Linked DNA regions of Notamacropus eugenii. The protein of the gene in region 1 binds, or shares a complex with, the protein of each later gene. Links are inferred from orthologs where the notes say so. Each region holds a gene or a part of one and is shown in the gene's direction. Other genes may lie near its edges. The genes, in order: RPS6KA3 and BMF.

Region 1 (15,508 bases):
CATTTAGGTTTATGTTTATTAGACGAATGAATAAAAAAATGGACAACGAACAACACATATGACAGGTATTGTTTGTTTTTAACAATAGTTTTAAGAAGGATGAACTACATTCAATGGAAAATAAGAAGTTGTTAGGAAAAAGTTTTTTTTTTTAATTAATTTATTTATTTATTTTTAGTTTTCAACATTTGTTTCCATAAGATTTTAAGTTCCAAATTTTCTCCCCATCTTTCCCCTCTCTCCGCCCCAAGATACCATGCATTCTGATTACTCCTTCCTCCAATCTGCCCTCTCTTCTATCACACCCCTCCCTTCCCTTACCCCCATCTTCTCTTTTTCCTTGTAAGGCAAGATAGATTTCTGTACCTATATTCTTATTTCCCGGTTGCATGCAAAAACAGTTCTCAACATTTGTTCCTAAATCTTTGAGTTCCAACTTCTCTCCCTTCCTCCCTTCCCACACATCCCCACTGTGAAGGAAAGCAATTCAATATAGGCTATACATGTGTAGTTATGCAAAAGACTTCCATATTAGTCATGTTGTGAAAGACTAACTATATTTCCCTCCACCCTATCCTGTCTCCCATTTATTTTGTTCTCTCTTTTGTCCTTGTCCCTCCCCAAAAGTGTTTATTTCTAATTATTCCCTCCTCCCATTTGCCCTTCCTTCTATCATCCCCTCCCCACAGCCCACTTATCCCCTTCTCTCCTACTTTCCTGTAGTGTAAGATAGATTTTCATATCAAATTGAGTGTGCATGTTATTCCCTCATTAAGCCAAATGTGATGAGAGTAAGCTTCACTTTTTCCTTCTCACCTCCTCCCTTTTCTCTTCATTGAAAAAGGGTTTTTTTGCCTCTTTTATGAGAGATAATTTGTCCCATTCCATTTCTTCCTTTTTCCTCCCAATATATTCCTCTATCACCCCTTACTTTTATTTTTTTAGATATCATCCCATCCTATTCAACTCACCATGTGTGCCCTCTGTCTATATGTATAAAATTCCTCCAACTACCCAAATACTGAGAAAAGTCTCAAGAGTTACAAATATTATCTTTCCAAGCAGGAATGTAAACAGTTCAACTTTAGTAAGTCCCTTATGATTTCTATTTCTTGTTTACCTTTTCATGCTTCTCTTGATTCTTGTGTTTGAAAGTCAAATTTTCTATTCAGCTCTTGTCTTTTCATCAAGAATGCTTGAAAGTCCTCTATTTCATTGAAAGACATTTTCCTCCCCTGAAGTATTATACTTAGTTTTGCTGGGTAGGTGATTCTTGGTTTTAATTCTAGTTCTTCTGACTTCTGGAATATCATATTCCAAACCCTTTGGTCCCTTAACATAGAAGTTGCTAGGTCTTGTGTTATCCTGATAGTATTTCCTCAATACTCAAATTGTTTCTTTCTGGCTGCTTGCAATATTTTCTCTTTGAGCTAGGAATTCTGGAATCTGGCTACAATATTCCTAGGAGGTTTTCTTTTCAGATCTCTTTCAGGAGGTGATCAGTGGATTCTTTCAATACTTATTTTATCCTTTGATTCTAGACTATCAGGGCAATTTTCCTTGATAATTTCATGAAAGACAATGTCTAAGATCTTTTTTTGATCATGGCTTTCAAGTATTTCCATAATTTTTAAATTGTCTCTCCTGGATCTATTTTCCAGGTCAGTTGTTTTTCCAATGAGATATTTCACATTGTCTTCAATTTTTTCATTCTTGTGGTTTTGTTTTGTAATTTCTTGGTTTCTCATAAAGTCATTAGTTTCCATCTGCTCCATTCTAATTTTTAAAGAACTCTTTTCTTCAGTGAGCTTTGGAAGCTCCTTTTCCATTTGGCTAATTCTGCTTTTTAAAGCATTCTTCTCCTCATTGGCTTTTTGGACCTCTTTTGCCATTTGGGTTAGTCTATTTTTAAAGGTGTTATTTTCTTCAGCATTTTTTGGGTCTCCTTTAGCAAGCAGTTGACTTGCTTTTCATTATTTTCTTGCATCACTCTCATTTCTCTTCCCAATTTTTCCTCCACCTCTCTTACTTGATTTTCAGAATCCTTTTTGAGCTCTTCCAAGGCCTGAGACCATTTCATATTTATTTTGGAGGTTTTGAATGAAGAAGCCTTGACTTTGATGTCTTCCTCTAATGGTATGCTTTGTTTTTCCTCATCTGAAAGGATGGAAGAAAATACCTGTTCACCAAGAAAGTAGCCTTCTATAGTCTTATTTTTCCCCCCATTTGAGGGCATTTGCCCATGCAGTTATTGACTTTTGAATCCTTTGTCAAGTGGAGGGTATACTCTAGGGACCTGTAAGTTCTCAGTTCCTCTGAGGTGGCATAATCACTGCAGAGGAGTTTACTCCTCTCCTGATCTGTGCTCTGGTCTGGGTGCAACCACAAGCTTTTCTGCCCAGGATCTGCAAGTAGGGTTCACTCTCCGCAACCACCTCCAACTCCACCATGCCAGTACTCCTTCTCACCCCAGGACTGCCACTCAGGGCTGAGATTCAGATCAGCTGCTTGATTCCCCTAGGGTCTTTTGACCAAGGACTTCAAAAATGGAGGCTGCAGCCACCTGGGGCCAGGGCTAGGGCAGGACCCTCCTCCCTTCTCACCCAGGTGAAAGAGCTTTCTCACTGACCTTTGAAGCTGTCTCTGGCATTTGTGGGTTGAGGAATCTGGAAACCCCAGCTGCTACCTGGGATTCCACACCCGGATCTGGTCCTGTCCATGCCATGCCATGTTGCCAAGGCTGGGCTGTGCTCCATGGGCTGCACTCAGTTCTGAGCTTGGTGTGACAGACTTTTCCTGTGGGCCTTCCAGGTTGCCTTGGGCTGGAAATCTCTTTCACTCTGTCACTTTGTGGCTTCTGCTGCTCTAGAATTTGTTTAGAGTCACTTTTACAGGTATTTTATGGGCTTCGGGGGGACAGCTACAGCAGGTCTGTCCTTCTACTTCACCATCTTGGTTCCACTGGAAAAAGTTCTTGAATTCCATTTTAAACACAGAGTTTTGAGATTTCTGACCAATTCAAAAGGAAGCATTCCCAATGTAAATAGAGCCTCCTAAATTCACTATTACACTTAGTTTTTCTTAAATAGATCTTATTGATATTCTTCCAAGCTCCACCACATGGAATCATATACTTTTAGAGTTCAAAAAAGACTTGAAAGAAGGTCATTTTCCCTTCAATTTTCATTTCTTTCTGAAAAAGTGTGGATTTTTATAGAGCATCTGAAATAAAATACAGACAGGATGATAATAAATGTAAACTTTACCCTTTCAAATAAAAAATGTTTTAAAACTCTCAAATAATAGTCAAAGTGTATATTTTACTATTTTCTTTCCTAAGCAATGTTGGAGAGGTTCAAAGGAAAAATTAAAATTTATATTTCCATTCATTTTATTAAGTTAATTAATATGTATTTATAAATTTGGGATGAAATTCAAGTAGGGTGATATAATAATAATAGGTAATATTTATTTAGAATTTTAAGCTTAGTAAAATGCTTATTGTTATCTCACTACATCCTTACAACAACCCTGAGAGGTAGGTGTTATTGTTCCCCTTTACCAATGAGGGAACTAAAGCAGGGAGTAGTTAAGTGAATTGCCCAAGATGACACAGCTAGTCATTGTGAACTGGATTTGAAGCCAGGTCTTCTTGACTCCAGGTTCAGTATTCTATCTACTTCACTAATGATCTGTTTCTAATACAGTAGTTAAATGTGTTGCATCTGGCATCTGGAAGACTTGGATTTGAATTCCTTCATTCAACCCTGAGCAAGTCAGTTAACCTCTGTGTACCTCAGTTTCTTCATCTGTAAAATGAGGGGGTTGGACTTGCTGACCTCTAAGGTCTCTTCCAGTTCTAAATCTGATACTATGAAATCTTTTTTCCCTTTTTCCTAGGAACAGTTACCAGTAAGTACAGTTTGCTTTTGTGAAAAATAAAAGATGCTTCAGATAATGTAAAGGAATAGAAAATTTTTAAGAGATGTGATGATTCTTTCTTAACATTCTAAATTGTGACAAATCTGTACATTGTTAAGTTGTGAATTTGGATTTATATGAAGTAGAGATTGAGCTATGAGCCATAGTTAGTCATCTTGAACTTGTCCAGACTGACGTAATTCTACTTTTGAACAATGTTAAATAAATGCACATTTAAACTACGTACAAAGGTTATAATTATAGCAGGAAACTAGTGGGGGTGAAGGAGGTTAAGTCTGGTTGTGCTGTCATGCATTGGGAATGATTTCTTGGAAACCTATTCCATAATTTCTAGAGATATTTGCAGTTATCCTAAGCTGCAATTTCAAGCAATAACTTTCCAATATTATGCATGAGTAGGTGGGAGGAACTGAGAGTAGAGAACTAGTATGGGGCAGCGTTAAAGGGAAGGGAGGGAGGAGTGTTGAAGCAATCGATTCAGTCCTTATTTTCACTTTGAAAACCAAGAACCTGAAAAACGAAGACCAGAAGACTAGTGGAGCGTGAGGTCATTATACTGCAAAAGTGTGTAGTGTGTTTCATTCAGTGAAAGGAGTAGAAGCATTCTTTGTCAGTTTTTCTTTGTCAGTACTACATTCAGAGTCATTTTCTACCAATCAGTAAAACTTAACCCTGTCTTAGGCAAAATTTAAAATAACAGCTCTTTTTGATGACCCTCCACAGAAATTTCTCCCAGTCATTACATTTTACTTGCTTAAATTTACCCATCTAAAGAAGGAGCAGTAATGAGTTAACATTTAGTGTTTTAAAGTTTACAAAACACTTTACATATTATCTCATTTGATCATAATCTGTGTTGCTCTAAAATTCAGATGAACAAATATTTTACTCCTGTCAATAAGAACTATGTCATTGCCTTCAGGCAGAAAGAGAATTTTATTTTTGTAAATCACAGAATGTGAAGGTAGGATCAGACCTTAGAGGTGATTCAGCCCTCTAATCTAACCTTTCTTTATATATGAAGAAAATCAGGCTAACACATATTTATTGAGTGCGCAAGTACCAAGTTATTATTAGCAACTTATTTAATGTTTAATGTTAGGTACAAGAACTGACTCATCCATTTGGTCTCATACAAACTTATCAATTAATTTTTGTTAAAAATGTTCTAACATTTTTCACGGCAAAATAAATTAATAAAAGTTTGAAATTCTATTTAGAATTCTATTTTTAAGAAGCTAATGTTCATAATGTTATATACACATCAGTTTTATTACCCATGTAATACTACTGTAGTCAACCAAGGATAGAGACTTGGAGCATTAGTCACAGGTTTGCTATTAATTTGCCAGTTGTCATGAAGCCACAAGATAGCCCTATCCACTTGTTATACAGGATAGTAATGTTTTACAGTATGCTCGGAGGACACACACACACGCACACCCACACACATACAAACTTTATACTTAAATGCAAAATAGTAGCATGCAACTTCAGTCTCTTTGTCCTCAAACTTCCACATGACTTGTCACACATAAAGATGATTTACTACAACAGATAAATTCAAACAGGTATTTTTAATTCATTTATTCTACAATTCAGTGTCATTATAGCATCAGAAAAACATAGAACTCAGAGTAGCCTTAGAGAGCATCTGGTCCAGTAGTTTTCTTTTTACATCTGAGGAAACAGACCTACAAAAGTAGAATAAGTTGCCCAAGGACACAAAATATGAACAGATTGGGAGGGAGGGGAAACCACACCTGTGATGTGGTGGGTGTAGAGAGGAGATTTCAGTGAGGAATCTATCCCTACTAATACAGAAGAACAACTGTCCTGCAATATATAGTCAGAAAAATGCCTGGAAGAACTGAGAGGATAAGTGAGTTGCACAGGATGACCTAGCCAGTATGTGTCAGAAGTGATACTTAAACCCAAATCTTCCTCACTTTGCCTGAGGTGGGTTTTCTATACACACTATACTATGCTGCCTTTCCTACCAGATATTATATCCAATATTTTTCTGTCCCACCTTTCACCTTATTTTTTTTTTTTTTGGTGGGTGCAAGGAGAGCTGGTTAGTCTCTGGAAACTATATGGGAAAGCTGGGCTCAGCATAAGAAATTCAAGGATCATAGGGTCAGAAGGGACCTTAGAGGGCACAGAGTCCACTCCTCCGCTTCATTTTGCAGATAAAGAAACTGAGACCCAAAGAAGTTAAGTGGCTTGTCCAGCATCATAAAGCTAATAAGTGTCTGAGGCAGGCTTCTATCCCAAGTTTTCCTGGTTCCACGTCCAGCACCTCTATTTATCATACACCTCTACACCGTCCCAACTCTCCAGTCCAGTAGGGATGGAACAGAAAGAGAAGGATAAGGGAGGAAGATGGTACTGATATACACAAAAGCACTTGTACTAATATATCTATTAGATATTAAGGAAAAATGCAGGTATAGGCGACTATCTAACCTGATAGACAATCTTGCATGGTTGTAAGGGGAATGACAAATAGAAAACTTTTAAAGCTTCCAAAAAGTGGCTAGCTTGCAGTCTGGTCAGTTACAGTTGATGGCCAAAGGGCTTGCTTATCTCGCTTCTGCAGTTGTGACCACGTAGTTATTGCGTGAGCTGAGGGCTAACGAAGTTGGAGAAGGGTGCTAGAGAGAATGGAAAGAAGATTAAACACCTAGTACCGGTTAAGAGGGAGGGAGGGAAAAAATTGGCCGTTCATGAAGAACCCCGGGTACTAGTTTTCTTTACATCCTCGGGACTAACCACTTAGGAGTTTTCCCTAGTAACACTGAAAGTGGTGCCTCTCTTCTAATGAAATCTAGATTCTGAAACCACGCTGGTAATGCTTGACACCTGTTAGCAAACTGTAATAATTCTCACCTGCTTTAGAAAGGAAGCTATAAGCTTGTCAGGTACTCGATGCCAGAAAACAGATTGATTCTTTTGTGTTAAAGGAAAGGGAACTCAACCCCCCCCCCCCCCACACACACACACACACACACACAAGTCGACAAAGAGTTAATCTATTATGTGAAATGGCTTCTGGCATAGTGCGTGGGTGGGGACCGAGAAGGAGTTTTGGTTGGGAAGAAAGGAACCGAGGTGATGCTTGGAAAACAATGGCACCAGAGAAATAAGCAGATGGAGGGTGCAACAGTAACTTGTCGGATGATACTTTTTTTCCTCCTTAAAGGATACTTAGTAACTTCTGTTGCTTTTCATTGTACAGAGTTACCTTTCTGAGGGAGTGCTTTGAAAGTTCCTATAACCCGGAGTGAACTAGGCAGTCATGTACTCATTTAGATATGATATGACTCCCCAGTCTTTTCCAACTCTGGCATTTCTGATTTTTAAAAAATTTTTAATGCTCTTGAAAGAGAAAAATCCTAGTAGCATTCGATGTGTATAGAGTGGTCCTTCCTCTTTATGGCAGAAGGGGGAGTCAGACCCTCTCTGTCCTCTCCAGTATCTCTCTCACTCCCACTTACTCCGCCCCCAACCAGACCTACTTTCTAATCTCATCTTTTATTTTAAATCAGCGGAATGATAGGAACCCCGCTCTTCCTGCCTACAACGTATTTTTAATAACTCCCTATCCTGACTTCTTTGGAGAGTGGCAGGATCAATTCATCTCGTGCTTTCCGCCTTCGTGGAAGATATATCACTCTTCTGTAACGCCGGCCACAGTAGTAAGCCCTGGGCTGCACAATATTGGAGGAATGTCGGGTTGGGGAGGATGCGATGGGGGAGATAGAGACGGGGACTGAAACCTGAGTCCTTTCGGGGGACCACAAGGGTTCCTGCTGGCTATCTGGAATCCAAATTTCGGAGATTTCCCTTTGGGGAGACTAAATTTTGTAAAAGAAACGAGGTTCGAATTAGAACCTAGAAAAGCTAGTACCTCAAAGGACCCCCGAACCATCCTTATCCGAGGCCTTATGCCGAGGCAGATGCTCGGCTACGGAACTGAGCAGAGCCTGGGATGCTCTTATTCTCCCATGCTGTGTACACGTAGGCACAGTGACGGCTCGCTTTATGATCATGAAAAACCTAGCCAGAGGTTTTTCTTATCCTGCGGGTCAAGGTCACCGGCACAGGGCTGGCCCGTCCGTCCAGAGCCTCTTCTGCCAGACGCCGGCCTGCGGGGAGACAGACGGACAAAAGTGCCCGAGTGACAAAACTACCCTGGGATTTTCTCCCACCCCAGAGGGGTGACCAAAATCCCCGGGATAATGTCATCCTCCCGTACGCTACACCCAGCTCTTACAGTAAGAGGGTTTCCCGGGCTCCCACACCTTCCGGTTTGGAAGCATTTGCCCCTTCCTCCTTTCCCCATCCATCCCACTCGCGCAACACCCACTTGGTTTCCTTAGTCTCACCCCGCCCTAGGGTTGGGAGAGGCCAAGAGGAGAAAGCAGGGGGAGGGGTGGGGGAGGGGGCCGGGAGAGGAGGCGGGGCCGAAGGGCGGGGCCCTCGAGGCCCCGCCCCCTGAGGGGGCTGCGCACGGCGGCCCGAGCCTCGCTCTGAGGGACAGGTATCGTTTAGGCGCCATGTTGTGAGCGGAAGTGGGGGAGCGAGCGGCGGCGGCGGCGCAGGGAGAGGGAGCGGGGCCGGGAGGAGGAGCGCAGGCGGCGGCGGCGGCGGCCGCGCTAGAAGGAGGCGGAGGAGGAGAAGAAGAGGAGGGCGAGAGCCCCGCGGACGGCGGCCGCGGCCCCCGTCTCGCCGCCCGCCCGTGCGGGCGCCTCGCCGGCAGAGCGCGGCGCTTGGGGGGTGTCGGCCCCCGTGCCTCCCCCGGGGTCCCGCGGCCGCCGCGCGCCGGGGCTGTGGGGCTCAGGCGGAGGAGCAGGATTCCCCGAGAAGGAGGAGGCGGGAGAGGAGGAGGAGGAGACGGGGCCGGGGGGAAGATGCCGCTGGCGCAGCTGGCGGACCCGTGGCAGAAGATGGCTGTGGAGAACGCGAGCGACAGCGCCGAAGTGAGTGGGGGGCTGCCCCGGGGTCCCCGGCCCCTTCCCTTCCCTCCTCCTGGGCGCCCGCCCCCGAGTGCCCGCAGAGCGGCTCTTCCTTCCTCCCTCGTCCGAGATTCCGGGTTGGTTACTTGTTTGTGGGTGTGTGTGTTGTGCGGTGTGTGTTCATTCCTCCCCCTCCCCACTTCCTCACTCCTGCGAGGACGGGCTGGGTGTGTTTGTGGGGTCTGTGCGGGCTGGGGCTGGGGGGGCTGCGCTGTAAAACCCACTTCGCGTGTGGATGTGCCGCTGGGCGCGCGGAGCCGCTCGGACCCTCGGGCTCGTGGGTGGCCGCGTGGGACTCGTAGGGCTGCCCCTCGGCTTCGGGCCCCGCGGGGCTCGCGCTGCCACGGAGAAAGTTGACTCTTCAGGTCTCTTCTCCCCTGCTGCGCTTCCCCGCCCCCACCCCCACGCGTCCGTGTCTCGGATCTTTGACCTGGAGTTCCCTGGCCCTCGGAGCTTCACGAGTTTCCTGTCGCTTTGGGTGGGGAGAGGGCCGGGCCGAGGGGGAGATAAGAATGTGGGGGGAGAAATCGCGGCTCGGGAAGCGCTTTGTGGTGTCCCACCCCGGGCCCGGTGCCCGTCGCCCCGTGTCCCTGCGCGTGCACTTTGTGGTCCGTGTCCGTGTGCGTGTCCTTGTCCGGAGCTCAGTCCTGAGGTTTCTCCCGCTGCCGTCGCTGTCCCGGGATCCACTCTGCGGCAGCGGCGAGTCGTTCGGAGTTCCGGCCGGCGGGGCATCGCTGGGCACCCCCTCGGCTTCTGCCGCTTCGCTGGGCTCTTCTCCGCCCTGCTGACTTGGGGACTTTACGGGATGGTGCCTGTGTAGTAGTTGCTGACTGGCCCCATTTCTAGAAAGCGTGACTGAGTGCGGGCTGGAGTGGTGTGCCGGCGTAGCCGGGCTTCGGCCGTGCCGGTCTCCGCAGTCCGGGGGACGTGTTGGGTTACAGTTTACGTCAGGGTGACCGTGCTTGAATGTATTCCCGAATGGGACCTTTGTGTTCTCCGCCTCAGGGAGGGGAAAGGGGAGAGGGGCTAACGTCATTTCAGGAGTTTCCCCCAGCCCCCCAGTTACTTCCACCGCCATGAAATGTTCTTTGCACGCTTGCTTGTTCACAAGCAGATCTTCTAAGTTCCAATAATACTGATTTGGGGTCAGTTTTTTGACTTGAATCGTATTTTTTAAAAATCTCATTTAAAAGCTACTTTTGAAAAGAGAACATTGTTCCATCAGCCTAGAAAGCTAATCTTAAATAGAATTTATCAAGTATCAGTGATTTTGCCAATGTTTAAAAAATATACGATCACTTAAGGATATAAAATTTAAGGTGATTTGTCCCTTAACAAGTATTATGAAAGATATAACTAATTCAATCCATGTATGATCTAGATATGACAGTCTCACTTGTAAAATCTTCATTTAGAAGTTCCAAATATATGTTAATGACATTTTTATCTTATGTCTGGTAAAGATTGGGAATTCTTCAGAAATGCAGAAATTTTGCCTGTTTTCATGAAAGATTTATATGAAAATTAGTTGAAATGTTAAGTCAGTTGGCTTATTTCAGTTATTGCCATGTTTTCTAAAAACCAGGCACGTAGGGTCATGCTCTATCGCTTTAAAAGATTTTTGTCTTTGAAACTTTTACATGACCTTTAAATATGAGAGGTTGGGTTTTCAACGTTTGACCCCATAAATTCTCCCAAGTTAAAAACTAGATCAACCATCCACTGTTTGGATTAGGGTCTGATATATAGTGCAGGTTTTGAATCCAACACCTACAACTTCAGGCCACTTGCCCTCTTTAAACTTGAGTTTCCTCATTTAAAAAATGTGCACCATAAACTATTTTATCTAACTCACAGTTTGTAACCATAAACCACTATATATCAGCTAAACATCAGCTCTTATTATTAAAATATGATGGCTTTCTTTATGACAAAAATCAAATGCTTCATTTGCCATTAGGTTTTTTTTATTTGTTTTCACCTGAAGATTCCATAATTTTCAAGCATATTTATTCTGATACAGATTTGGAGTCTCCAAGGTCAGGTGCAAGGATTTCCATCAGCTTCTTGTACCTTCTGCATCCATGTTAGAGAGTAAAAGAGCAAATGGTACCAAGCTTTTTATTTGTTTTTAACGCACACACGTGCACACACACAGACACATACATGCACACACGCAGACACACACACACACCTCTCCAGTACTGCACTCCATGTTTAACAAATGTTGATTGGACCACGTAAAGCCATTTTACAGTGAAGCTGCAGCAACAAAATGCTACCTTTTTTTTTAAACCAGGAGAAAGGATTTATTATTTAGTCCCGCATATGTTAATTCCTACCTAGGACACCCAGGGGTATTTGGGCTGGAGACAAAATATGTTCATTGTTAAAGCTTTCTTTCATGACTCACACTTGGGAACATGAAGGAAGTTCTATTTAACATTACTGAGTAGAAAATAGGAATAAGTAACATACTGGAAAAAAATCATTTCCAAAGCGGTTTAGAGTGATTAGACATGGCAGTTCGTTGGATTATTATATGAAATGAACTTAGTATGTTTAAGGGATACATCTCTTATTCTTCCATAAGCAGATCTGTAAACAGGAGAGCTCTCCAGTGTGCTAGAACCCTCTCTCTAAGTCTTTTTACCTTTCATAGGTACCAGTACAGCACTCAGGCTATCCATTTGTTATGCTTCGTTTTCAATACCTATTTTCCCTTGATAGATGCATTCCTCCTTAATATCCCTTAGCACTTAGATCATCATTGGAAGTATATTGCAGTCTCTTTGCAGCCACTGTATACCTCTCCAGTAACATATCCTTTGCCATAGCAAACAAACAACAAACATTTATTTAGCACCTACTAGGCACTGGGTATGCAAAGGCAAAAATGAAGTGAATGAACACTATCCTCCAGGAACTTAATGTCCTATTGGGTGAAACCATGTCAACTCAGAAAATGAAATATAAAATGTGTTCCAAAAGGTGACACCTGAACTTAATTTGGAAAGGTAGGCTTGAACCATAAAGGGCTTTAAATAACAAAGGAGTTTATACTTTATCCTAGGAGAAAGAAGATCTACTGGAGTTTCTTTAAGCAAATATGTTTCAAGAATACCAGTTTGGCAGCTGAGGTTACAGTAGCAGGACCAGGTAGAAAGGACCGTTTTTGTAGTCCAGGAAAGAGGAGATGAGGGCCTGAGCTTTAGTGGTGGCTTTGTGAGTGTGGAGGAGATAAACGTAAAATGAAGAGGTAGAAGGAAAAAAGAAAACAAGTATGAAGTGCTTACTATGTATCTGGCACTGTGCTAATCGCTGAGAATACAAATACAAGCAAAAAGAAAGACAGCCCTTTCCCCCAGGGAGCTTATGTTCTATTTGTGAACTAACTGGGAACAAAAGGGAACTAAAAGGTGAAGGCTGGAGTTTGAAGTCCTAAAGTTTGCAGTTGTTTCAGGAGGGGAATGAAGGTTTACCTGGGCCACTGTACAAAATGGAGGCCTTAGTAGGAAGTCACCAGTGGGAGAATGGAACAAGCCTTCAAGAAAGGCCCTGTGGTTTTTGGATGTTCCAAGGAAAATAGCCCAGAGAAGTATCTGGATGAGGCAGCAGTAGAGGCAGGGTTTTAAAATCTAGAATTCAAGAACAGGACCTGGAGGAGAGTTAAACAAACCTTGGCAGCTGATTGGATTTGATTACTAACAGAAAAAAAAGTTGAGGATAACTTCTTGTAAACCTGAGTAATTTGAAGGATGGTAGTTCCCTAAACAGAAATAGGGAAGTTTAGGAAGAATAATGAATTTGGGAAGGTAATGATTTTTTGGAAGTTGAGGAAATACATCATATGGAGAATATGTTATCCAATCTCATCCTGTTCAGTTCTGGGCCAAGCTTATCGGCCATCTGCAGTGCTTGTCTCAGATATGTGCGCTGATGTGCTAACTCAAAGAACTGATCTTCCAAGTAAACTTGTAACCAGTTTTCATCGATTTCATTTTTCCTGTATGCATTGTTGGTCATGACAGTTTTGAATTATTTTGGCTCTCATTGAGGAGAGGCTGTATGATGACCTGGGGCTTAATGCAGTCAGCACATGTTGTTTTACAAACAGGAAGATCTGGAGGACCTCACTATCTTTCCAGCAATTTTTGGTCTCCATATCTCTTTGCTTTTTGGAAAACCTACCCATACTCCTTGTTTAATATGAAAGGATATACATTTTAAAGTTTACCATGCATATTCACAAAAGCTATGATGTGAAAAAAAATAATTTTCACAAAAAGAATTGTATTAGGAACAGAACTTTTTAGTATCATAAAGTTATATATTAGAGTAGTCCAGCGAGGTCTTTGATTCTGTTTTTTCATCAACCACTTCTGGGTGTAGTTTTTGAAGAGGTAGTGTAGTGTAAAGTGGTATAGAGAAATGGCCTTGAAGTCAGGAAGACATGAGTTTAAATCTTGCTTATGAGGTATACTGTTAGTGTGACCCTGGACCCTCTCTGTGACCGTAGGCAACTGAGACTCTTGAGTTGCAGAGAAGGTTCAACTTAATTGGTAGAGGAAATTCCCAACCAAGAACTTCCTATAATGAAATCACAGGTGCTTGCACGTGCGTGCTCGCTCTCTCCCGCTCTCTCCCGCTCTCTCCCGCTCTCTCCCGCTCTCTCCCGCTCTCTCCCGCTCTCTCCCGCTCTCTCCCGCTCTCTCCCGCTCTCTCCCGCTCTCTCCCCCTCTCTCCCCCTCTCTCCCCCTCTCTCCCCCTCTCTCCCCCTCTCCCCCCCTCTTCCCCCCCTCTCTCCCCCTCTCTCCCCCTGCCCCTCTCCCATTTAGTTTTTGAAAAAGATAACCCACACAATCAAGTTCAGTTTTCAGTTCGCTTCTTCCTTTGGATTTGATTAAGAACAGGATCAAGGATACTGATTCATAGAAATGAGCTGTGATTTAAAAAAAATTTAAAAAAAGAATTAGAGTCTGTAAACAAGAATAGTATGTGTTTCTCTAGAAGTATAGCAAAAATTTTGTAACTTAGTTCATTAGAAATTTTGAGTTTCTGCTTATTGTGGAGATTAATGGCTCATCTTTCATTGGTTGTCACTGATTTGTTTTCCAAATCTCATTTATGTGGTTTTGGTCAGTAGGAATTATTCCTTCAGCTATCTCAAATTTTTCAGATATGTGGATTAATGCCCGTTTCTTTATCAGCCCTTTTCCTTCCCTGCAGTTCTCTCTAAACTCAAATGCTTTCAGAAGCCACTACTACTTTTAGAGTATTAGGAAAAAATACCAAATATTAACTATTTACCCTTGACAAGTTTTGTGTCCTCCAGGTGGGAACCCCTGGTGGGTACCCCTTTATTTTACATGTGAGAAAGCTAAGCTCTGAAGAGTTGAAGAGATTTGTCCAAGACTACACAACAGATTATAAATATGAAGTTTTCATTTTCTGTAGAAAATGTTTGAGGTTGTCTGTTGACATATTTGCTTTTTTTTAATTGTTTGAAATAATTTTGTAAAATCGTTTAAAATTAAAATTGTGGTTTATAGTTTCCATACTTGTCTACAATTCAATGCAAATAATTTGTACTTCTTTCATCTTTCCCTGTGCCTTACAGTGCCTAACCCTGCCGTTTGTCTTTACCCTTGACTTCCAATCTCACTAATCCTCAATTCTTTCCCAGGCCGTCACTCCTATACTGTTTACATACTTCTCATACCCCTTTTTGACTTTTTCTTCTCTCAGATGTCCTGCCCTCTTATTCTCTTCCCAATATTACCATGCTGAAACTCAGTCTTTCTTACCCTCATCATCTACCTTCACTCCTACTTATGTGTTGCTGAATGAAGCACTTCTTCACTCAATTAAGAGAAAATCATTAAACCATGTTGACTGAATCCACTACTGATTTAGGTTATATAATCTCAGTTGAGTCCTTACTGCAGCATGACAATCCTTTTATGCCTCCCTAATTTATTCACTCTCACATTCATCACAGCACCTTTTCAAAACCTTCCTATGTCTTCTCAGTCCTCTGATGGCTCTCCTTCCCCTTGTCTTCTCAGTTGAGAACCTTGCCTCATATTTCACTGAAAAAATTGAGGCCATTCAGTAAGCTCCCTCTTTTTCCCTTCCAATCTCATATCTTTCAGAAATCTTGTCCACTCTATCTCAAAAAAAGAGGTGGTTCTTCTCCTTGCCATAGCACAAGAGATTCCTTTTAACCCTGCCTTTTCCAGCAGGTTGCTCTCTCTTTCATCTCTACTCTCTCCTTTTCTACTGATTGCTTCCATGCTATGTACAAAAATATCGGTGTATCCCTCATTCTCCAAAGTAGATGATCTGTCCATCCTTTGTAACTGTTACCTTATATCTCTCCCTCGTTTCATGGTTAAATTTCTTGAGAAAACTACCTACCATGCATGCCTCCGCTTTCTTTTCTCTCACTCTCTTAACTCTACATTCTGGATTCCAACTTTATCATTTAACTGAAACTGTTGTCTCCAGAGTTACCAGTGTTCTCTTGATTGCCAAATATAATG
Region 2 (15,828 bases), on another chromosome or scaffold:
GGGAGAGAGAGCACCGACACATAAAGGAGAATGTTAAGCAATGAAGAATCGGAATAACTTCAATTGAGAGGTTCATATTCAAGCTTACTTGGAATATCTGTAAATAGCTTCTTTGTGAACTGCTTATTAGCTTATTAATTCTTATTAAGAATTGTTTATTAACTATCTCACACACCATCCCCACTGAGGGCAGCCCAATCAACAATGAGTAGGTTCTTTTCTTTCCAGTAGTCTGTCTTTCCTTCTTGACCAGTCTGTCTCTGCTTCCACCAAAGTTGCTTCCATAGCCAATAGCTGGCTCCTCTGTTGCCCAGGAAGGGGGTAGATACCCACTGTCTTTCAGAATCTCACAAGGTCCAGTACCAAGGGAAAGGAGACATAAAGAGGAGATGGCCTCATCCCAGACACAAGCTTATGTAGGAGGCCAGGAGCTCACAGTCTGCACCCTGGGGGAGGGAAGGGTATCTCCCCATGACCTAGCCCCCTTAGAGTTGTCCTTATACTTCAAGGCTGGTAGGCAGAAGAAGCTGAGGGATAGAGATTGTTCCCTTGAGCGGAGCCACACAGTTCTGGCTCAGCAGCCAACTAAAAGAGTCCTTATGGCTGACTGACAAGCAGCAGTCCCCTATTGTGAAGTTGGAGGTCTAGGGAAAGGGCCTTTCCATCATGCAAGCTCACCTTAAACTTCCATGAGGCTGTCTGATCTACTGACCGAGCATAGTTCAAGGTGGTGGGTGAGGAAGGGTATTTTATCTCAATCTCTTAGCAGTTCAAGATGGAAAAAATCAAATTTTTCCTTTGTGTTTTATCAGAGATAATGTGAGTTGGGAGGACAGTCCTAGAATGGACTCTCCCAAGTCTTCTCATTTATTTTTATTACTTCAGATTAATTCATTTACTTATCCAAAAAATATTTATTGAGTAGATGAAAAGAGAAAAAAAGAAATTGAACACTGCATAATTGTATCAACCAAGAAACTTGACCTTTCTTATAGAAGAAACAAGAAAATATCCCTCCCTCCCTTCCCTGTAGAGATGAGGGTCTAAGCTGCCTTGCTGCTATTCATCCTTTGTTCTCCAAGGGGACCATGACATCATGGGGGTGATGCCATGACATTGGATTTAAGGGAGGAAGGGCTGTGCAGTCACCAGCCTCACTTTTTCCTCTAGAGCCATCTGGGTCCAGTGGTGAGATACAGATCAAGATGACTAAAGATGGCCTTGGATGTAGTAGAAGACCTTGGCCTCTTTAAGCTGAGGTCTTTACAAGTCTCAGTTTGATTGAGGCAGTGCCCATTCAGTGATCAAGGCTAGGTAAGAAAGGAGGCAAAAAATGCCCTCTTTTACCCAGTCCAAAAAAAAAAAATCAAGAGAAGGAAAGACCCTCAGGGTTTTGGGCCAAAACAGGAGTAATTGCATTCACTCTGAGATTATCAGGGTCCAAAGGCCTGGGATGTATTGTTGGCCAATCAATGAGAGCCAGAGTGATTTGGGTTTATAGCATGGTCCCTTAAGAAAGAAATCTAGCTGGTAAACCCCAAGATATCTAGCAATGTTTTAGTCATCAAAATTTATATTCCTTTCTACAGAGCACCCACAGGAAAGGAAAAAAGAAAGAGAGAAAGAGAGAAAGAAAAAAAGAAAGAAAGAAAAGAAGGAAAGAAGGAAGGAAGGAAGAAAGAAAAAGAAAGGAAGAGATAGAGGAAGGAAGAAAGAAGAGCTGTATTGCCCGACTGGCCAGTTGCCCATATTGTCAGATGCAGTTAGTTTTACTGAACTACTTTTTTCCCTTCCCTTTTAAAAGTCTTTCTTACAGGGAATGACTTGTTGGGTAGGGGAATGGAAAAGATGTTTTCAGTAATGAAGATCTCAAGAGCTATAAATAATGCATACATATATATACACACACATACACATATATTATATATCTATACATATATTGTCTATCTATCTGTCTGTCTATCTATCTATTGAGGGAGAGGGAGAGAGATGCTGAAGCTACACAGATATCAGGTATTTATATCTATATCTATTGCTCTATCACCTACTACACCATATGCCAAGCAATATGCTAGGCTTTTGGTGTGGATCTTTTAAAAGTATAATATATAGAATCTACCCTTAAGAAAGAGATTATCTGACTTTAAGATTGTACAAAAATCAGGCCCCCTGCCCCAACCTCTTAAAGCAGAATTCTGATCACAGCTAGGTCTGCCTGGATCTCTGCAAGGGTGAGTGTTTCCAACCATCGGGAAGAATATTTAGAAGATGTAAACAGGGATATTTCTTCAATAAATTTTGTAAACAGGCCTTACTTTGTTGAGAATTCCCTTTCTCCTCCCATTCCTATTGCCCAATATAGAACAAATGTGCATTTGTTAATGTGGATCCATTCATTCATTCATTCATTTATTCATTCATTCAATCAATAAATATAGGCATCCCTCAAACAATACCTTATATATAACGTGGTGTTTAATCTATGTAGCACGAAAACTTTCTGTTTCTGATGAAAAGCCAATAGTAAGCATTCTGGTACCCAAGGCAAAGTATCATAAAAACAGCCAGAGGTGAGCAGTCAATAGGAGAGGGGTGTGGAGAGAGGAAGAAAACACTGGGAAAGTCCCTGACCTCTGACCTCAGGACACAAGGCTCCTCGGGTAGAGAAAATGCCTTATATAGGGGACACAGAGACCTAGGGACAGGGATCCTGGTTTCAGTGGGAAGATGCTCTGGGGTACCATGAAGCCACTGGAGGTTTTTTAGTAGCTTCCTATTTTAATGAATAATAAACTTTATTTGGGTGTCTTAGGATAAAGCCCAAGTCACCCCATTTTAGGACTTTGATCAAAGCCAACATTTTGCCTGATAGTTTATGTTCCTCCAGACTCCTCTTTATTCCAGGAGATTAATCTTCCAAATTCCCTTTTTAAACCTCTTCTCACCTCCCATTCCTCAATTAAATCCTATCCATCTCATGGATTGGTAAGTGGGGTAGTCTTCTTCAGGGCAGTAACTAGGGTGGAGCCATGGGGTGGTGGTCCAGGGCAACAGCATTTAGAAAGCACTGACAATTCTTCCGCAAGGAGAAACAAGTTAGTTGCTCAAGATCACACAGCAAGTAAAAGTTAAAGGGGAAATTTGAACTCATATCTTCTGACTCCTGAGTCTCTGTCCTTTCCAGTGTGTCTCTTCTGGTAGACCCATTAACATAGACACTGGTTCTGAAAATCAAAAGGAGGGTGCTATTCTGCCCACTTTACAGATAGCTCCACTGAGGCCCCTGAGAGGTTACAAGCAACTTCATAAGGTCACATAGAAAGCCAGAGGCCAAAGAGGGAATTGTCTTTTGGAATCTAGCTCTTTCTACCAGACTAGTATATTGCCCCAGTGACTCTGAAGGCTACTTATCCAGATACTCAAGACTCTCCCTCTGTGACTTCTGATTTTCTCATAAATCAGTTTCCAATCTAAGCCCTCCCTTGAGGTTGAGTTACAAACCTCAGTAACCCCAGGGCGGCCTGCCTGGTAATTCCTATTATTCAGCTGTCAGCTGGTTTTTAAAAACCTCCTTTCCTGGTGAGATCCAGTTACTGGGGTTTTAAAGCCGATTCCTTGTGTTAGAGAGAAACCCTATAGCCAGGTGAAACAATGGTAAAGGCTCCTGGCTCATTTCCCCCAATCCTAGTTTAGGGATTTCACAAAGTAGAGGGAGCTTAACTCTTTGTATCCCCCTCCCGGGCCTCTGGAGAGGAGGCCACAGTGAGAGAGCAGGTTTGCCTTTTGGAAGGAGGGAGGTGTGTGAGGCGACCCTACCCTGAAAAGCCAACTTCTCTTAGGAAGGAAAAAAACCCCAAAACAAATTGAGAGGTAGACCGGGGGAAGAGGGAAGGGCCCATCAGGAGATTCTCTCCAATCACTGGTTGTTGCTGCTGTTGTAGCAAGCGTGCCTTTCCTCCTAAACCCAGTCAAAAGCTCTGAGCACATCTGTTACTAGGGGGCTTCTGTCAGTCGGGGAAGAGTAACACCCGACCCTTCTAATCCAGCAGGGTCCTAAGCACAGCTGGCTCTGCCTGGATCCCTGCAATGGAGAGTATGTCCAACCTCCAGAAAACATATTTGGGTGATGTTGGCTCTTGTGAGGGAGGGGCGATTCCAGACCCTGCTCCTGGAGAGTCTTTGCTCAAATACTTCTGACTGAAGGGCAGACCCTCTTTGTACTGATTCTCATAGAGGCTGAACATCTGAAAAGAGACAAGGCCAAGCAACCTTCCCCAGGGTAAGGGCTGTTCTCTAGAAATGGACTGTCAGGAGTGGCCTGGGGAAGAGGTGTGTTTAGGGGGGAATATCTTGGCAGAAATGTGAACATAATTTGGTTTGTCCCTACCCCACAGGCATCCTGCATCTGGAGCTCTAACTAGGAATTCTGGTTGTAGTACCCTTGGATGGTACCAAGTGGTGAAGTGCTGTTGGACCACATAGAGATGTCGGCCTAAAGACAGACCCAGGGAGGAAGGGTGTCCCTCCAATGTCAGTGACAAGAGACAAAGACCTAGTTACAGCTCTGTCCCAGATCCATGTGGAGAACTCCAACATTTTGCCTTGCTTTGCAGGTCTAATTTCACTCTAAAAATCTGAAAGATACCTATCAATAGATCAGGGGCCAAGGAAGCTGGGTAAAATGACCACCTTGGACTCCCTGGAGTTTTCTCTGTCACTCTTAACTGCTCTGGACTTGCCTTCTAGAAGCCACTTTCCATATTCCGTTTTCTCTAAAGCTATCAGTAGGAAATGTTTTAGTTTTGAGCATTATTAACTGGATTAAGCAATTCCTAGGAATGCCATCAAGGCAGCTAGGTGACTCAGTGCATAGAATGCTGGGACTGAAGTCAGGAAGACCCGAGTTCAAATCCAGCTTCAAATACTCACTAGCTGTGTGACACTGGGCAAGTCACTTACTTTCTCTTTGCCTTAATCTACTGGAGAAGAAAATGGCAAGCCATTTGCCAAGACCCCATGGACAGTACTGATGTGCTATCGTCCATGGTGTGACAAGAGTTGGTCACAACTGAACAGTACCACATAGTACCATTAACAGGCAGGAGAGGCAAAGAAAAGTGTAAGGAAGAAAGCCTGATTTTAGTGGAAATCTTTTGTGATTTGAAGTCAGAGCACCTGGGTTAAAAGCCTGGTTATGGTATTTGCTGCCTGTATGATCTTAGGCAAGTCACATCACTTTATTGGACTAGCTATGTGCCTAGCACATAGTAGGTACTTCTTAAATGTTTGTTAACCATCTATAAAATGAAAGAACTAGGATCGATGATTTCTATGGTCGTAGTTCTAAATCATATGATTTTTTTTAAAGGCAACCAGGGTAAAATGACTTGCCCAGGGTCACAAAGCTAGTAAGTATCTAAGACCAAATTTGAACTCAGGTTCTCCTGACACCAGGGTCAGTGTTCTCGGTACTGCATCACCTGGCTGCCCCTAAATCCTATGATCTTAAAGAAAGCAAAAGAGCAAAGGAGAAAGGAAAAAAGGAAGACAAAAAGTCAGTGTGGGAGGGTAGAATGGAAAACATTCAACAATGACTTTGGATGTCATTCAATGTCACCATTTCCTATTATTGTCCTTTAGCAGGAGTTTTTAACCTTTTGTGTGTGTATGTCTCATGGACCCTTCTGCCAATCTAGTGAAGCCTATGACTCTCTTCTCGGAATAATATTTTTAAATGTGTAAAGTAAAATACATAGTATTACAAAGGAAATTAATATTATTGAAAGACAGTTTTCAAAATATTAAAACAAAACAAGATCACAGACCCCAGGTTAAGGACCCCTTGCCCTAAAGGTGGATCTGAGTTAGCAGTTTTGTCCCTGAAACATAGAATATTAGACTCTTAATGCTGTGAAGTACCTTAAGTATAGTATATCATCTGAAATTCTCTCTCATTGACCTGGACAGTTGCAATTGCCTCTAACTTCCAGTCTCTACCCTCTCTAATTCAACTTCCACAGAACTGCCCAATAAGTATTCTTATAGCACAGGTCTAGACCTGTAACTCCCCTGCTCAAGAAGCTTTAATGACTCCCTATTGTCTCTAGGACAAAGAACACATGCCTCTGGATATAAAGCCCTTTACAGTTGGACTCCAACCTATTTTTGCAGGCTGATTTCATATTAATCCTTCAGGTCAAGACGGGCTTACTTAATGCTCTTTATATACAATATTTTCTCACCGACATTTGTGCTTTTACAAATGTTTCTCCTCATACTTAAAGGTCTTCCCACTCATCTCTAAGTCTTGGAGATCCAATTTCCCTCCATCCTTCCAAATTTCAGCACAAGCTCTACCTCTGAGAAGAGTCTGTATTTTTCTTTGGTCCCCAAGTTTAGAATCCCACACTTCCCAACACATTAAAATCACTTTGTACGTATTTTTACTGACTGATCTGTGCATATGTTGCTGACTCCTTGTACAATGTAAGCTCAGACCCAGTTCGTTTTTCCCCACTCCAGACTTGTATATTGTCCCAGGGACTCTCAAAAACCACTAGTTGAGTGATAAAGCATCAGAGTAAGGACTAGATGAGTGCTGAGGGACATGTGCTTTGGAATATGCCCAGTCCAGCAAACCAGACATTTCTAGTCTCTCACTCCCATGATCCTTGTTACATATGTACGTGGGACCTTATTTTTTTTTAACCAGATCTGTGAATTCAAGGGGGTGTGTTCAGTTGTTTCAGACTCTTTGTGACCCCATTTGGGCTTTTCTTAGCAAAGATACTAGAGTGGTTTGCCATTTCCTTCTCCAGCTCATTTTACAGATGAAGAAACGGAGGTAAACAGTGGTAAGTGACTTGCCTAGGCCCACACAGCTAGTAAGTGTCAGAGTTCAGATTTGAATTCAGGTCTTCTTGACTCCAGGTCTAGCACTCTATCCACTGTGCCATCTGTTTGCTCAAATTCAAAGGCATAGAGATCTCCAAATGAGGATTTCCTTCTACCAAGGCAGATAAACACCTGCTCTGAAATAACATATGTAGTGATAACTTTGAACTTACTCTCCCAGAGTAAGGCTGGCTACATCTCCCACTCAGGCTTCTAGAGGTCAGGAGTATCTCTTCTCATACTCTGTGCTATCCTGGACAAGCCCCATCATGTAGTCAGGACTCTGAACTCACTCTCTCATCTGAGACTGACCTGTGTCTCCTCTGTCTTGATTTGCCCTGAGATCTCATTTATTCCCAGTAAAGAGTTCATTCACTCTTGTATATTTTCTGGTATATTTTAGGGTGCATAATTTCTCTAATTTCTGCTTCTTGTCTGCTTATTCTCTATTTATGGTGGTCTTTTATCTAACTAGTCTTTAGTGGGAAAGAGTTAAAATAGCAAATGTAAACTAAGCTATGGTGATCAGGGAAGAGGCTTTTGTTTTGAACCCCTAGATTGTACTTTTAGATCAGCAATATTGAGAGGGGGGATCAGATAGCTGTAATTCAACTCTGGTACCCATTTCTGGGGGGCAGCTAAATGACACAGTGGACTCAGTTTCCTCATCTGTAAAAGGAGCTAGAGAAGGAAATGGCAAACCACTCCAGTATGTTTGCCAAGAAAACCCCAAATGGGGTTATCACTGAAAATGACCAAGCAACAACATCCCTTTCCTAGTGTGGAGAAAAGAATGCTTTGCCTTACGGCTTCCAGGAGCTTGCCTCCCCTCCTACCCTCTCAGTGGTTGTGTAGGCCCCTCCCTGGACTCTCCTCTTCTCCTTAGAGTTGATCCTGACCTCAGATCCTATCTGTTTACACCTCCTGAGAACCTTTTACTAAGTAAGGTCCAACAGATTTTGTAAATGGTCACATGAGGTATAAAAAGTTAAATGATTTGCTCAGGGTCACACAGTTTCACTTTTAGGATTTGAATTCAGGTCTTTCTGACTCCAAGGCTGAATCTTGATCCACTATCCAATGCTGCCTCCGCATCTTGTTTTTGTCTTTTTATCCTCAGCACTTAGCACAATGTCTGGGATGTGGAAGGGCATGGTAAGTACTTGTTGCATTAAACTGAGAAAAAGTAATAGAACTTTGTGGTGAATCTTGCTCTGTGAGCCTCATCTTCTTCATCTGTAAAATGGGACTAGTCATACTCATGTTACCCATTTCACTTCTTCATTGTGAGGCCAGTTCTTTGGAAAATGAATATGTATGAGCTGTTATTATTGCCAGGACAGACATCAATCCTTAGGAAAGACAAGGTGGATGTCTTGGCATTTTCTTCAAGCCTTTTGCGGACACCATCTTCCCACATGAAAGTTAAAATCCCTCCCAGTCTACCAAGCAGGGTCCCAGAGTCTGGGCCTGACAAATCCTTAAGGACAATTGACTTGTTGCCTCCATTAGAGAGAGGGTACCCCTTTCTAATCAGGGTAGGGCAGATCATAGGATAGGAGATCTAGTAGGATGAGACCTCTGGAGCCATCTAGTCCAAACCTCTCATTTTACAGATAAGGAACAGATGCTCAGGAGAGTTAAGTAATTTGCCCAAGGCCGTATTGTGAGCAAGCATCAAAGGAAGGATTTGAACCCAGGATCCTCTTACTTTCATCACCAGTGTTCTTCCCATCATACTATACTAGATTGGTAAAGGGTAAAAAAGGAATTGTAGTCTCCCCTTCACAGGATCATTGACTTAGAGTTGGTCATCTTGTCCAGCTCCATCATTTTGACAACTTGTGGCAAAGCTCTGATTGTCCTACCTGAGATGATTTGAATCCACATCCCCCAACTCCAAATCCTCCTCTTTCCATTACTACAGTTGAGAATTGCCGCTATGTGTGATATTACAAATTTTGATGAGACTGTAGGTCAAAAGTTCTTTGGGAGTGAGGAGTGCTGGTGAGCCATGATTCATCAGTGAAGGTAGGAGTTCCAGGCAAGATGGGCAGGAGAGTTCCCAGGAATAACAAAGTTCTTCCAAAGGATGGGCAAGGGCATGGAAATGGATGGATTCAGGTAAAAAATGAAGTAAGGGAGATGTTTAACCACACTATCCCATGCCCATCCAGGGCAAATAGTTACCACGCACTTCAGGAGCAGCTAGTGCAAGCAGTTGTCCCAAGGGCACCAAACTCACCGTCTGGCTAAATCTGCAACCCATGGATTAAGAAGTCAGACGAATAGTCAGCAACCCTTCCCACTGCCCCGTGGAAATGTGACATTTACCCGCCATATCTTCACTTGCCGGTCAGGTAAGACACTTGCCCAAGCAGCCCGGGTATAACAGGGAGGATCCTTCCCTCAGGAGATTTTTATTTTGCAGTTTACTAGGCACAGTCAAGGCACCAGGATTCCAAACTAGGAGCTGGAGGAAGGTCTCCTCCTCCTCCTCCTCCCATCCTTTTTTCCTTTGGAGTACAAAATATGAAACTTAGGCGGTAACTTCCAACCATTACGCGGACCGATAAGGTTCTCCACTCTGTGACGTTTTCAGGTTGTAAAGTCACAGCCCTTGGCTCAGGTGTAGACGCTGCGTTAGGACCGGAGGACTTGATAATGGATTGGGTCATGGGGGCACAGAGCCAGGAGCTTGCCAACATCCACTTGTCAACAGGAAGCTGGGATGCCACTCACTATTGCAGGGGATGCAAAAATTGAAGATATCGTCCCCTCCCCTCCCCCCCAGGTAATTATTTAGTGCGATCACGAAAAACCCTAGGTCTCCTAGGAAGACTTTCTGGGCCTGCTTTCTGTTTTCTGGATTCCCACAGAAGGGGTGGCACAGCCTTCGCCCGGGCTGGGAAGCCAACCTTTCGCTTCTGTGGCGGCTCAGAATTTTGCCCTGCGCCCTTGCCGCGCATCTCCTGGAAGGTTCACACATTCGCGATTGTCCCTGCCTGCTGCCCAGCCCTGGACTCGGAGCTTCGTTCGCCATTGGTCAGGTCGTCGCCGAGGGGCGGGGCTTCGTCAGCTGTTTGCGGGATGCCAGCGAGCGGGGGTATTTTGGAAACAATACCGCGCGGGCGGCGGCGGAGGCTGGCCTCCCTGCGCGCGCCGGCCGCCTGCGCCCCGTCGCCAGGTAAGCCCCCGGGGCTGGGGGGCTGACCGGCCGAGCGGGGTGCGGCGCCCCACGAGGGGCAGACGGCGCCGCGTGGCGGGGAGCGGGCTGCAGTGAGTGCCCCGTGGCGGGGGCAGAGCGCACCCGTGGGGGTCCGTGCCCCGCGGCAGGGAAGGCTTGGAGGGGTGGCCAGTGCTTGGGGGCAGTGCAGGGCGGAGGGAGGAGGAGTTACAGGGCTGACCCGCGAGGGGTGAGGTGTGAGCGCGGGGCTCGCTGGAAGGATCTTGGGGTGTCCTCTGCCCCAGGGGGTCGTTGGCAGAACAAGGGCTCAGATTGCAATGACCAGGGAAGCTTGGGGGTGCAGTGACTGTGGGACTTTGGGGTGTGGGGTGCCTTAGCTCTTTTTTTACATTTCTGCTCCAAAGTAGGGATGGTGGCGAAGAGTTTTGGGGTGCACTGCCTTCCAAGGGGTCTGACTGCTCCTTTCCAGCTTGGCTTCCTTTACCTCTTTCCCATCCCGGTCTGGGCACGGAGCCCCGCGCGCTCATCACTGGGCTTTGGCTCTGAACCCTGGCATCATAGCGCTAGAGCTGAGGCTCTTTCCTGGAGTTATCTTGTACTGTGGACCCGGGTCTGTAGTGTACACATGACCCCTGGTTTCTGGCAGCGCCAGGGACTTCAGCTGCCTAGTTTCTGTCTGTGCCCTCTGGGGCCAAGCCCAACTTTTGGAAGTCACTGTCACAGTTGGAAAAGGTTTGAGCAGGTCCAGAAGAGTGGATTTCACTTTGGAGTAACGGCTTACCTGGCAGTGTCTTCCTGGGGAAGCGGAGCCCTCTGGCTTAGTGTCCCACATCCTCAGTTCCATGGGGATCTCTTCCATCACTTATTCCAAAGTTTTTTCAGGGACCACTTGCCTCATCTTTCACCCCTCCCCCAGTCAGTGTACCACAACTTTTCTGGACTAGCCTGTACTGGCAGAGGAGGCTGGAGCTGAATCACTAGGGAAAGTCAGGTCAGGTAGGGGGAGTGGGGTTATGTACTTCCTACAGTAGAGAATGGAAAGGGTCTCTCAGGATTGCTGATCCAACCCACTCAGGCTACACCTCCCCCACTCACCCAACCCAGTCAATTTAGAACTGGGGCTTTGCCTGGAGGGTAAAAGCTGACAAGCTTTGGAGGAGAAAGAGTCTCTGTCTTTTGCCTGTGTTTGTGGGATCCCAGCTGTTTTAAAGGGAACCCTCTTTGGGGTTACTGTTATGAGATAAAGGCTGTCATTCTTCTGGGCAACAGGTAACCACCACTTAACTCTGGTAGAGCAGCCTCAGGTCAGTTCAGTTAGAAAGTTTGCATCCTGGTCCATAGGGGAAAGATAGATAGATAGATAGATAGATAGATAGATAGATAGATAGATAGATAGATATGGATAGAGAGATGGAGTCTGTGTGAGTGTGTGTGTGTGTGTGTGTGTGTGTGTGTGTAGGTAGGTAGGTCATCTATATGTGCCCTATGGCCCTTTTCATTAACAACTCCAATAACTGGGAGAGGGGAGTAATAGATTTGATGAAGGCAGAAGTATTTGATACTCAAGCTCTCCAAATTTAGATGTGATCTATTCAGATGCTTCAGAAAAACACAGTTCAGTTTGGATTGTGCTTGAAGGCAAGAAGTAACCTGGGAGACAGGAGTCCCGAGTTTTGTTTCTGATACTATCTTTGTCCAGCTTTGTGGCATGGCACTCCGTTGAAGAAAGGCCATTGGAGAGTATAGGTGACTTCTGCTTTTGGGCACTAGCAAAGCTAAGACACACTGTGGCACTGCAGTCACTGAATACGCGGTGTAGTAGTTATGAACTGTGGGAGTTGGGAAGTGGGTCACCCCAGGACTTCTTCTCTAAGCTGTCTGTCTGCTAAAGCAAGAGATGCTACCCAGACGGTATAGGTGATGCCAGAGACATGAGGCTGAGTTTTACTTCCTCCTAGGAGGCAGGATACACAGCTCCCAGGTTCAGCTAGGGACAGGCATGGGAACCCTTTGAGGTAGGGGATTGGGAGCTTGCAAGGAGCAGGTTCTAAAAGCTTCTAGATGATAAGCTCATCCTTCTTGTGGACTTCTGGAGAGCTGAGAGCTCAGTTCAGCCACTCTCCAGATTCAGAGCATCTTGTTGTGACTTAGGCCCTCCCAGGAATCTCACCACTACCAAACCACCCTCCAGTGTCTATTGGTGAGTGTTGAGCAAGTGGGGGCGGGGCATAGGGGAAAGTTAGTCGGCTGGGAGGGACTTGAGCAGGTTCTGGAGCTGGAAGCACGGCTTCGAGGTTATTGTTGGCTTTTGTTGTAGTGGTGGTTGCTCAGCCAGGAGTTTAGCTCTGCCTGAGTGTGGTAGTGAGCTCCCTAGGGCGGGGATTATGCTTTTTTCTCACTTGTAGAGAACACTGTGTCTGGAGCCTGTTTGGGTGACCTTGCACTCCTGGAGCAGGTGAATGACTTGGGTCCCTTTTTTCCCTCCCACTGCTTTCATTGTTTACCATTTCCTAAATACCCCATAGCAGCACCTAGACTCTGTAAGCAAGTCTCATAGCAGCCAAAATAGCCCTTGCCAAGAGCACTCACGGTCTGAACTCCACAGACAGGCCTGTTCAGGAAAAGAAGCCAAGGGTAGAGGAGGCTGTGGGCAGCCTACTAGAGGGACCAGGTGTGTTGGGCTTTTTCCAGGTAGTTTGAGGGGGATTTTTTTGTCTTCATTTATAGGTTTCCTGTGCCAAGACTGTATGTCAGCAGTCCCTGACCTTATCTTCCATTGGCTAGGGTAGAGCATGGAGAGCAGGGGCATGAATCATCCAAGGGGGGTGAGGAGTGGCACCCCAGACTTGACCGCCTTTCTTTTGCAGGAGAGATGGAGCCTCCTCGTTATGTAGACGAGCTGGAGGACGAGGTGTTCCACCCGGAGGACTCAGAGCCTGGTGCTCAGCCAGGGGGCCTGACCTCAGCTGCTCTGTTTGCCCAGAGTCAGCCTGACTATATGCTGGATGGGCTGCAGCTTTTCCCTCTCACCCATTGCTGCGGCCCAGGGCTTCGGTCAGTTGGCCAGGAAGACAAGGCCACTCAGACCCTCAGTCCAGCATCCCCAAGCCAGGGTGTCATGCTGCCTTGTGGAGTGACTGAAGAACCCCACCGACTTTTTTATGGTGAGTTTGACAGCCTTTTCCCTCCTGATCCTTCTCTCCTGAGTTCAAAGTAGAGGTAAAACTATCCCTTCTAATAAAGGTATGGCAGAGGGCCACAGGGGTCTTGAGTCCTCTCTTTTCTCCCTTCTGAGCCTTCACTTCTTTCTGTTTCTTGCTGGATCACTTGCCAGTCTTCATGAAGCTAAATTGCCGTGCGCATCATTTACCATTCATTTATTCCATCATCAAATAACTGAGCAAGTATTAGGTGCAAGGCACTACTAGGTGCAAAGCACCTACTAGGTACAAGTTCAGTGCTATGGGAATTTAGAGCAAGTATGCTCTCACTATTCTGAAAATACCCCTATTCTGGTACAAGAGGGGATTGTAGTAGGTGACTTTTAAGTTCTTTTCCAACAGGAACATTCTCTTTTTTCTGTATTCTAAAGTCCCTTTTAAGACTCAGATTATCTGTTACGCTGCCCAGTGGGTATGGTAGGCTTTTTTCCTTTGTAGAGTGGGGACAACTCAGTCTTAGCTGTAGTTGTGTCTCTCCCTGCCTCTGTACACCCAGGAGGGGCCTCTGGGGGAAGAAAACGACCAAGCCTTCTTAGTTTGGTGTGGGCATTCTGTCTGGGAGGAGAGCTAGAGCAAAGCCCTTGCTTAGTTATCAGTGACCTGTGGTAGTAAGGAAGGGGGGGAAGATGTAAAAGTGCTTCCCCACTCCCTCCGGCATTTATCACTTGGTTTGTTGCTACACTGCAGTTCCCTCTAGAAGAGAATGTTCCTAGGGGCCAAGCTTGGCTCCCAGCTTTTACTGAAGACTACTTGTGGTTGGAAGGAGAGCAGGAGAAAATTGCCAAGTCCTGGCGGGGTTTGGCTTCATGCTGAGATAAAGGCTGTTCCTCAGGAACAGGGTGGCTTAAATCCGGGCAGATCCCATTCCCATTACCTATATTTAAGGGGCATGAGGGCCAGGCATAAGGAGTAAGGTTAGGCATTAAGCCCATTTTTTTAGCTTAAAGAGGTTCTGAAGTTATCTTATGTGTATAGGATGAGGCACAAGACCTGTGAAGATTGCATTTCTTTCTAAAGGAACTGCCTTTCAGTGATAAGCCAAAGTAATTCTGTACAGAGTTGGCCTGAGTGATTAGAAAAGGAGGGGAGGGAGTGGAACATCTCTGATTTGAAGGATGCTGATAGTCTACATTCAGAGGGCATCCCAGAAGGCCCAGCCAAGGCTGCCTGCAGAAGGACCTTGTTTTCCCTGTGGCTGGAGGCACTCTCTTCTTGGTATTGCCTGAAGCTTGCTGGGGAGGTTCCAGGGAAGATCATACTCTGCAGTTGCACCTTTTGACCTTTTCCTCAGTCTATTGGAACCAAAAATCCTGGAGACCTTAAAAATTCCTTCTGGAGAGGGGCTTCATCCTGGAGTGAAATGAGTACTTCATTATGGTGATATCCAGCCTTACAAATAACTCTCAGATTTGTTACCAGTCTGCTCCTTCTGACCTTCTAGCCTAATTTTATACCCCGTTCCATCATTTACTCTGTGTTCTGTCGAAATTGGACTCTTTGTATTTTCCTGCCTCAGTGTCTTTGTTCACAGTGCTCTGTATACTTAGAATGCCCAACCTTATTCTTCTCCATCCTTTAAGGCTTAGTTCAGGTACCACCTCTATAGGAAGTTCCTCCTCATTCTTTCTCTCTCTCTTTCTCTCTCTCTCTTTCTCTCTCTCCTCCTCTCTCCCCCTCTCTCCCTTCCCACCTCTCAACCAGGTGTGATCATTTCCCTCTTCTCAACTCTTAAAGTAATGTTTTTATCTTTCTTGTACTCTTATCATGTTCTAGTCTGTGTCATCATTATTTGTGTGTCACGGCAGATATTGAGCTTTATTTCCCTTATTTCTTCTCCTACAATACAACATAGCACTTAGTGAGCACATCTATTCTCCTTGCATAAATTCTTAGTTAATTAACTTGGGCAAATAGATGAGAGACACCACCTACTATAGAGTCATGCCAAAGGTGAAATTTGTGCTCCTTGAATTTTGATCCAGCCTCCAGCATGTCCAGTGGAAAGAACACTAGCTCAAGAGTCAGAGGATCTGAGTTAAAATATGACCTCTGGTGCTTGATCCCTGTGTGACCTTGGGCAAATCATTTACCTTTCTTGAGCCTCAGTTTCCCCATCTGTAAAATGAGAGGGTTGGACCACATGGTCAATGAGATCCTTCCAGATTTGCACTTGGAGCTGATGCTTACTATATACCGGTGGATCTTGCTAGGCATTTGTGGTTGAGGCCCCCAGGAAGGACTCTGGCTATTGTGTCAAATGCTGGCTCATGTGGACCTTCTCTCTCCTGCTATCTTCGCAGGCAATGCTGGATACCGACTTCCCCTCCCAGCCAATTTTCCTGCAAGCCTGAGGCTTGGAGAGGAGCCCCCTGAAGAACAGTGGGAGCATCGAACTGAGGTTCAGATTGCCCGAAAACTTCAACGCATAGCAGACCAGTTCCACAGACTCCATATGCAGCGGGTAGGTATCAGCCAATGGAAGCTGAGCTTCAACAGATGCCAGGACCATAAGAATCCTCTGCTGCC

What was found.
Region 2: the proteins of RPS6KA3 (region 1) and BMF are in contact, whole or in part, in a crystal structure (PDB 8R58), measured with the Homo sapiens proteins. The link is inferred for Notamacropus eugenii from reciprocal best matches to the Homo sapiens genes RPS6KA3 and BMF. Residues at the interface, in NP_004577.1 of Homo sapiens: Trp252, Phe259, Phe268, Leu281, Ala283, Lys284, Leu285, Gly286, Met287, Pro288, Leu299, Arg300, Phe303, Lys304, Arg305, Asn306, Asn309; in NP_001003940.1 of Homo sapiens: Glu8, Leu10, Glu11, Asp12, Asp13, Val14, Phe15, Gln16, Pro17.

The regions. Positions count from the first base shown.
Region 1 is NC_092876.1:457,654,990-457,670,497, forward strand, and holds the start of RPS6KA3 (ribosomal protein S6 kinase alpha-3), read left to right. Parts: upstream 1-8,589; 5' UTR 8,590-8,858; coding exon 8,859-8,927; intron 8,928-15,508. UniProt on the Homo sapiens protein: Serine/threonine-protein kinase that acts downstream of ERK (MAPK1/ERK2 and MAPK3/ERK1) signaling and mediates mitogenic and stress-induced activation of the transcription factors CREB1, ETV1/ER81 and NR4A1/NUR77, regulates translation through RPS6 and EIF4B phosphorylation, and mediates cellular proliferation, survival, and differentiation by modulating mTOR signaling and repressing pro-apoptotic function of BAD and DAPK1.
Region 2 is NC_092878.1:25,992,485-26,008,312, reverse strand, and holds the start of BMF (bcl-2-modifying factor), read left to right. Parts: upstream 1-9,983; 5' UTR 9,984-9,984; coding exon 9,985-10,081; intron 10,082-10,293; exon of another isoform or gene 10,294-12,536; intron 12,537-12,545; exon of another isoform or gene 12,546-12,752; intron 12,753-12,948; coding exon 12,949-13,245; intron 13,246-15,602; coding exon 15,603-15,763; intron 15,764-15,828. UniProt on the Homo sapiens protein: May play a role in apoptosis. Isoform 1 seems to be the main initiator.